2 linked regions of the Oryzias latipes genome follow. The protein of the gene in region 2 purifies or fractionates together with the protein of the main gene of each other region. This does not show direct contact. Links are inferred from orthologs where the notes say so. Each region holds a gene or a part of one and is shown on either strand. Other genes may lie near its edges. The genes, in order: ppp2cb and ppp2r5d.

Region 1 (4,508 bases), on a different chromosome or scaffold from region 2:
ACACTAAATCATTTGGGCATGCGCAGTAGTGTTGAAAATACCAGAAAAGTAAATGAGTCCCACAGTAAACATCCTTGCTGTCATATAAATCTACGCAGCAGGTCGGTCCAAAGCTTCTATGGAGCAAAACACCATCTATGTATGACGTCAAACCAGAGCAGTAGTGACACACGATCGGAATGAACTGTTTACATGAACAACGATCGAATCCACAATCGGCATAACCCACCTATCTCGATCGGAAAGAAATTTTGATCCGAACAAGTCAGAGTATTACGAACGGCGTGTTTACATGACGCATTTTTCTTCCGATCAGGCGTTCTTTCCGATTACTTTTGTCCATGTAAATTCAGCTAGTGAATCCCTGTGATGTCATCCAGGTGTCAGTGAATCCCTGTGATGTCATCCAGGTGTCAGTGAATCCCTGTGATGTCATCCAGGTGTCAGTGAACCCCTGTGATGTCATCCAGGTGTCAGTGAACCCCTGTGATGTCATCCAGGTGTCAGTGAACCCCTGTGATGTCATCCAGGTGTCAGTGAACCCCTGTGATGTCATCCAGGTTTGTCAGTTTGTTTGGCACAGAGCAGACGGACAGCAGCGGTTTGTCAATAGGACATTTTATTTCACATGTCTGTTGTCTTCATTGAAATTACAGTAATATAGTAGAGATGACTGCTGGCTGCAGCCTTAACAGCTGAAACTCAGAGCTGTTCTACTGAAGCAAACTCTCCTACGTTTCCTTTAAACTGATCTGGCAACAGAAAGAAAGCACAGATGGATGAAGGTGGAGACGGGCGGGGATATAGTGAGCTCTAAAAAACAAAAACAGTTGTTGGAAAAGGATCAAAATATGGCACATTTGGTCCACGTCGGTACTTTTTTATTCTCCTGTTTTCAAACATGTCAGATGGAGAAGATGAAGGTTAACATGCGGCTGAAGCTCAGCTTTAGTGACATCACCGCTCTGTTGAATCTGCTCAATGCATCTTCTCCATTCAAAATGAGAGGGGTGGGGCAGGGGCGGGGCTTGGTGAATGACTTATGGGGGACAATAGGACATTCACAGGAAGTAGTCAGGAGTGCGTCTAGTCACATGAGGCTCGCCGCGGCGGGGGGCGGGGTCAAACTGCAGGCTGTAGAGAGAGGATGAAAGTAAAGGTGCGATTCAGAGACACGTTGGATGAAATGATGATTGGACTCTCTAGGAATGTTCCATCCAGAGACACCCGGGGGGGTGGGACTTACAAAGAGTACTTCAGGGTGTCGTCCAGTTCCATGATGGCTGCCTGGTTGCCGCAGCGATAGCAGTAGTTGGGGGCGCTGAAGATGGTCACCACGTTCTTGTCGTGACCCCAGTTGTAGCCCTGCAGACAGAGGGGTGGGGGTGCATGATCACAAACGGCCCATCCATCCTAACAGCCGGGGGTGTGTGTGTGTGTATGAGGAGTCTCACCTCCATGACCAGCTGATGGGCGCGGGACACCAGAGTTAGGCCGTTGGCGTGGTTGAAGGTTTCAGAAATGTCCTGTCCAAAAGTGTAGCCAGCACCTCTGGGAGAGATGCCCCACCCACCGCGGTCATCCGGGTCAGACCACAGCAGGTCGCACATGGGGCCCTGGGGGGTGGGGGGAGTCAGATTAACACCAACCTGTGCAGCTCTTACCTTCTGCTCTGCAGCAGAGGAGGACGCTGCTGTCGGGGCTGTCCCGCTCCGACCACGTGATCGCAAACCGGAGTTGATCGATCGGTTGCAGACTGGATTGAAATCAGACGTGTCTCCCGATCGGACATAACCCTAACCCGATTATACCATCATTTCAAGCTTATTATTCCAGATAAATACTCTACTAGAAGTCTGCATTTCATCAACGAATCACCACAATTTTTCACAGCTTCGAGTTCCGGGTCAATGACTCTTAATAAAATGTTTTCAACTGACGGCAAGTGTCACGTAAACAACGACCTACGAAAGGATTTTAAGAGAAAAACCATCAGGATTGAAAACGGCGCTGAGATTTTTTCCTGTTCCGATTAAAAATGTTCAACAATTCTGAGGATACTAAAGCTTCAGTCCCCAAACTTTCTGCCATGATTATCAGCAGTTTTGACTAGTTTATAGTTAACTATTCGTACTAGATAGCTGCAGGATTTACTTAATCGTAGAAGTGTTGAATGATAAAAGGAGGAGAATAAAAGAAAAAATGGATCTGTTCATTAATTTGTTTTTTTTTTTGTTTTTTTTTAAAGTACTTCACAAAAGTTTTGGATCAGGACTCTGTATCGGCACAAACTCCAAATCAAAGGATTGGAATGACGTAAGGCCCAAAACACTTGAGCGGGACGTCCAGTGAGGAGCGTGTACCTCATGCGGGACCTCCTGCAGGCGGTCCAGAGCTCGTATGTGGTCCAGAGTGTCTATGGAGGGAGACAGGCCGCCGTGGAGACAGAAAATCTGAAAGGACAGCAAAGGACAGTGTCTGTAGAGCTCCTGCTTCCATGGCCTGACGGTCTGGGTGTAGCGGCTCTCACCTGCCCGTCCACCAGCGCAGTGAGCGGCAGGTAGTCAAACAGGTCTGTGAAGTACTTCCAGACGTTGGCGTTGCCGTATTTCCGCAGACACTCGTCATAGAATCCGTAGACCTGTGTGATCTGACGGGACTCGTGGTTCCCTCGCAGTATAGTGATCCTCTCTGGGAATCGAACCTGCGCATGAAACCTCACATGAACACTGCCAGCTGCCAGCAGGTTCCACAGCATCACACATCGCACACCTCCGGAGAAACCGAGGAAAGACCTCTGCGATCTGGTTAACGAGACTAAAGTCCTCCAACGACAACCACAAAGCTGCACGCAGAGGCGGGACCTCTGACTCCGCCTTTACAGCAAACTTTGAGGAGGTGGGCGGAGTTACAGCCACTGAAAAGACCGACTTCAAGATTAATTTCCTTATTCAGGAGAAGTGTCTGCGGTCCAAAACGGACAACCATTAAGATTAAAAACAGGTAACCTTTAAGAACATTTCTTCTTAAAACAGCCGCCAACTCGCAGAGAAAACACAAACACACAGACACACACGGACACATAGAAACACGGAAACCTTGAAACGAACACAGAAACACAAACACACACGGAAACATAGAAACACACAGAAAGGAACACACAACACTGCCGCTGCCGCTCTGCCACACAAACACACCTCTTCCAACTGCAGGTACGGCCTCCCATATTACCATTTGGCAGAAACCTGACAGTTGTGCAGGTGTGACCACAGAAGACTGCTGACAACAATCAGATGCAGTCCCACCTCCTCAGGCGCTCCCACTCTCAGCAGGAAGGTCTGCTAACGAGGGTTACCTTTAACGTGACGAGCAGCGTGACCGTCTCCACAGAGTAGTAGCCCCTGTCCACGTAGTCTCCCATGAACAGGTAGTTGGTGTCTGGAGACTTCCCTCCGATCTTAAAGAGCTCCATCAGGTCATGGAACTGACCGTGAACGTCGCCGCACACGGTCACCGGGCATCGCACCTGAGGAGACCGTCATCATCAAGTCATGTTGCATTTATCCGTCATGTATTAAAATCCGCTACGTGAAAACAAAGTCTGACTAAACCGTGATCACATGTAGATGACACACGGAACAGCTCGTTAGCATAGCATGGTAGCATTTAGCATCATTGCAGGGTAGCATGTAGCATGGTAGCATTTAGCATCATAGCATGGTAGCATTTAGCATGGTAGCATTTATTATCATAGCACGGTAGCATTTAGTGTCATAGCACGGTAACATTTAGCGTCATAGCATGGTAGCATTTAGCATGGTAGCATTTAGTATCATAGCATGGTAGCATTTAGCATCATAGCATGGTAGCATTTAGTATCATAACATGGTAGCATTTAGTATCATAGCATGGTAGCATTTAGCATCATAGCATGGTAGCATTTAGTATCATAGCATGGTAGCATATAGCATGGTAGCATTTAGTATCATAGCATGGTAGCATTTAGTATCATAGCATGGTAGCATTTAGTATCATAGCATGGTAGCATTTAGTATCATAGCATGGTAGCATTTAGTATCATAGCATGGTAGCATTTAGTATCATAGCATGGTAGCATTTAGCATCATACCATGGTAGCATTTAGTATCATAGCATGGTAGCATTTAGCATTATAGCATGGTAGCATTTAGCATTATAGCATGGTAGCATTTAGTATCATAGCATGGTAGCATTTAGTATCATAGCATGGTAGCATATAGCATGGTAGCATTTAGTATCATAGCATGGTAGCATCAGTGTGTAACGACCCGCTGTCTCCAAATCCACCCTTTTTATCAACGTTCTGTTGCTGCTGTGAATCCAGCAGTTTTGTCCTCCAGGTCGTCCTGGATTCTGGTACAAATCCTCACATGTTCTGCTGCTTCATCTCTTTCAACTGAAGCTACACGGAGGAAACTAGCAGAAGTCATGTGACAGGAGCACGTCTGGCGGTGCGTGTTAGTGTTTTT
Region 2 (3,820 bases):
GAAATACAGACATGCATGCTACCTCACACCAAACATGGACTGACCTCCTCCTGTGGGTGAAGTCCACAACGGAGTGGGCGGAGCTTCTGACTCTAGAAAAGAATTTAAAAAAAATACAGATGACACGAACCCACAGGACTGTAGCCCAATCTCAAAAACACCTGTGACAGTCTGGATCATTTAAATGCATCCAACTTGTGACTTAAGACTTTATTTCTGACCTTTGGTCCAGAACAAAGTTGATAGTGAATACCTGAGGGTTCTGTTGGGCCAATACTTCAATTTTCTGCCAGATCTCATCACGCTCCTTCAGCTTGTACTTCTCTCTGTGGAGAACACACATAAACATCTGAACACAGGAACATTCGTGTCCACACAAACAAAAGAACCGATTAAACGGATCATCTGCTCATGCTGGGACCAACCAGACTTAGAACTTTGCATTATGAGGAACCATAGCTTTTGCTGGAGTGGCTATGTGTATGGCTGCGCGTGTTTGAGGGTCAAAGCAAAGTGTTAGGGTCAAATTATGACAAATTTATGGAGGTAGTTGTGTTCTTGGTAATATGATCTGTGAATTTGTTCCTGCTGAGTCCAGCAGGGGTCAGTGTGGCGCACCTCTGTTTCTCAGCTTTGTACTGCTGTGTGCAGTCATCAAACAGCTTCTGGTTCATCTCCATGAAGAGCTTCAGGGCGTTGTAGATCAGCCCATGGATGGTTCTGAAAAAGAAGGGAAATGCTTCACAAGTTCATGCATCAAATCCTCAGAACTTAATGAGAGCCTCCAAACAGAGACCTAGCCTGTAAGTGCTCCTGGTTTCAAACATAATTTTCAGCCTTTAACTCTAAATTTAGATGTAAAAACAAACATGTAGGGCCCCGTTTAGATGAAGGGGGCACACCGATGCAGTTGGGGAGGGCTGAACACACAGACGTTACAGAAAAATGAGGTGGAAGCTTGCTTTTAATGATCGTGTTTGAGAGTGAAGACGCTCCAATGGAGCCAAAGGTTACACTCCCCAGCGCTGAAGAAAAACAGAACACAACCGTTGGCTATGACGCACACACATCAGTGCACGTGAGGAGGGTTTGTTCTCACTGCCATCAAGCCCTCGCTGATGGAAACAGCAGATCCAACTGATCAATCTCAAGGTCACATTAGGACAGTGACCATTCAGCCCCCCCCTGCATGAAATGTTGATAGAATTGCTGCCCCCATGGGCAACTTCTGTCCTCGTGTCTCATTGCACTTCTTCTGTAGCTTTGTTCATTGAGGCTTTATAAACCTAAATGACATTTATGCAGACATACTTCTAGAATAAATCTATGCTTTAAACAGGAGATACTGTCTGTGTGTGTGTGTGTGTGTGTGTGCACGCGTGTGTGCACGTGTATTACTTGTTCCAGTGGCTCTTTGAGTTCTTGTAGAGGGCGGGGAACATGATGGGGAGGATCTTGGCAGCATTGTCACTAATCAGGCTCATGATGTACTCATTGTTCCAGTAGTACAGGGCTCTCTCTGCCACCTGCACAAAAACAACAACAAGCACAAAAACATACACAACATTATTAAAATCCTCCATGGGCATCAAGAACCAGCAGGAATTCGAACACATTCCTGAGCTGCAGCTCACAGTCAGCAGTGAAATGTCATGTTTGTGCAAACACTTGCCTTAACGTTCCTTCCACTTATGTTGCTGCTGCCGCAGACAAAAAGAATTTCCCCATCGTGGGATTAATAAAGCCCATCTAATCTAATCTAATGTTTGCATGAAACTTATATTTTGTAACTGAATAAACCTGTGTGTGTTTGTCAAAATGTATGCATTTGCACAAACCCATGCTTAACTTGATGAGCCACTGCAATGGAAATCGTGTTTTTAACACGTTCTTGTAGCATTTTTCCGATGGAGGACATTTATAAAGAAAATAGCTGTTTGAAAAAGAGCATATGTGTGATAGAAAACACACTGGGCGGGTCATAAGCTGCCTGCTCTGAGCTCTCAGCATCGGGGAGGGGAAGAGGGGGTGGGGTTGCTCTGCGCCATTGGTTCCTCCCACAATTTAAGCAAATTTCCAATGACCTACTGTCGCTCTGCAGAAACTATGTCCTAAAAAGCGATACAGATTTTTTGATTTTGGCTGAAAACAACATAACTATAATTGAAAGAATATGGGGAACTCTTTAATAATAAATCAAAGGATGATCAGAGCGGGTCTTTAAACCTTTCTGCATACATGTTTGTTAGACTGCAAACACGTGGTTCACTGGTCCGCCCCACAATTTTAACTTCCACTTTAGACACCACACACAGAGGGACCCAGGGGTGGGGGGCTCTGCTGCTTGGCAGCGGTAGGGCCCGCCACACTGGAGACCTCCTATTTTACCTGCAACACACACACAGTACACCCGCACCACCATACATAGATGGGATCAGGGAGGGGGGGTGTCGATCGGCCTGAGGGTGGTTACTGCGTGGCGACGGGGGGTGGGGGGCAACCAGAAGATTGTGTGTGTGTGTGCGTGCGAGAGTGCATGGGTGGGGACAGACCTTGGGGCTGGCTCGCTGTGACACGCAGGGGCTTACCCTCCCCATTGTAGAGGGGGGAGGGCATTAGGGGTGATATGGGAGGAGGTGTCGAGGAACATGGCAGGTGAGGGGGTCATAGAGCGTTGAGTAGTGGGGGGTGGTGCTGTGGTTGCGCGGGTAATCACTGCCACACTGCTCCCTGTCTGCTTCATCCCTCCTCCTAACCCACAGTGTATTGATGGACAGATGTCTTCCGCTCATCTTAGTTTTAGAATTTCACCTTCGGATGTAATATTTGTCTTTTCAGCAGATCTGGTATAATTGTTACACAGCTTAAAATAATAACTTATTCAAATCGGCGCTTGTATTCCCCACTCTCTCCCTCTCTCTCCCTTTTATTCTCTTCAACCCCCCCCCCCCCCCCCACACACACACACACACACTTTTCCCCTCTCCCTCCCCGCACACACTAAATGTAACAAATAAATAAAGAATAATAAAAATTTTAAAAAAGGGGGTTTATATACATTTACATTCTGATTATCTGAAGATATATAACCTCTTTTTGTGACAGTAAAACCTGTCCAACACGAAAAGCCTTCAGCGCTCATCTGTTTGCTCAGTTGTTGGACAGAACAAGTTAAAAAATAACAAAAAGACTGGAGGCATGTGATGGAAAAAGCGGTCTTGGTTGAGATACCTGGAAGTGTGGGCTGGAAACACACTTGGCGAGCTGTCTGAAGAGTGGCTCCTGGACTTTCACAAACTCCGAGGGTTCAATGACGTCCAGAATCTCTTCGAGCTCGTTCAAGAACATCACCTCCTTTGGACTGTGGGTTTTGGGCCAGAACTTTAGCAGACCCATTATCACCTGTTGAGGGCAAAGACAAGGTTCTGTTTAGAGAGCTTCACCAGAGCTCCTGCATTCAGGAACCAACAGCAACCCAAACTGTGTTGAGTACTTACAGGCTCCGTCAGACTGCTGTCCTTCTCCAAGAACTGGACCACACAGTATGCCAGCTGCAGACACACAAGTAGGGGGTGATCAGCAGCAAACACACATTCAGGAACCAGCACACATGCACACACCAGGGGTTCCTACGTGTTCCTCTAAGTTCAATTTAAGACTTTTTTTAAAAAAAAAACCCTTTTTAAAATCTTGCTATGAAAAACTAAGACCAATTTCTCTATAGAGAAAACCTTGAATTTCAGAACAATTACTTGTCAGTAAGACAGTGACGTGATATACAGAATAATTTATTTAGCCCAAAATCACAACAACAATCGTC

Evidence for each region.
Region 1: the proteins of ppp2r5d (region 2) and ppp2cb purify together in Homo sapiens (affinity purification with mass spectrometry; 8 studies listed by BioGRID and IntAct, counting the BioPlex papers as one, with this or other methods). This does not show direct contact. The link is inferred for Oryzias latipes from reciprocal best matches to the Homo sapiens genes PPP2R5D and PPP2CB.

The regions. Positions count from the first base shown.
Region 1 is NC_019867.2:193,587-198,094, reverse strand, and holds the end of ppp2cb (serine/threonine-protein phosphatase 2A catalytic subunit beta isoform), read right to left. Parts: intron 3,527-4,508; coding exon 3,356-3,526; intron 2,705-3,355; coding exon 2,531-2,704; intron 2,454-2,530; coding exon 2,364-2,453; intron 1,617-2,363; coding exon 1,455-1,616; intron 1,366-1,454; coding exon 1,247-1,365; intron 1,135-1,246; coding exon 1,062-1,134; 3' UTR 602-1,061; downstream 1-601.
Region 2 is NC_019873.2:12,875,577-12,879,396, reverse strand, and holds part of ppp2r5d (serine/threonine-protein phosphatase 2A 56 kDa regulatory subunit delta isoform), read right to left. Parts: intron 3,552-3,820; coding exon 3,498-3,551; intron 3,403-3,497; coding exon 3,232-3,402; intron 1,527-3,231; coding exon 1,399-1,526; intron 721-1,398; coding exon 619-720; intron 327-618; coding exon 254-326; intron 93-253; coding exon 45-92; intron 1-44. UniProt on the Homo sapiens protein: The B regulatory subunit might modulate substrate selectivity and catalytic activity, and might also direct the localization of the catalytic enzyme to a particular subcellular compartment.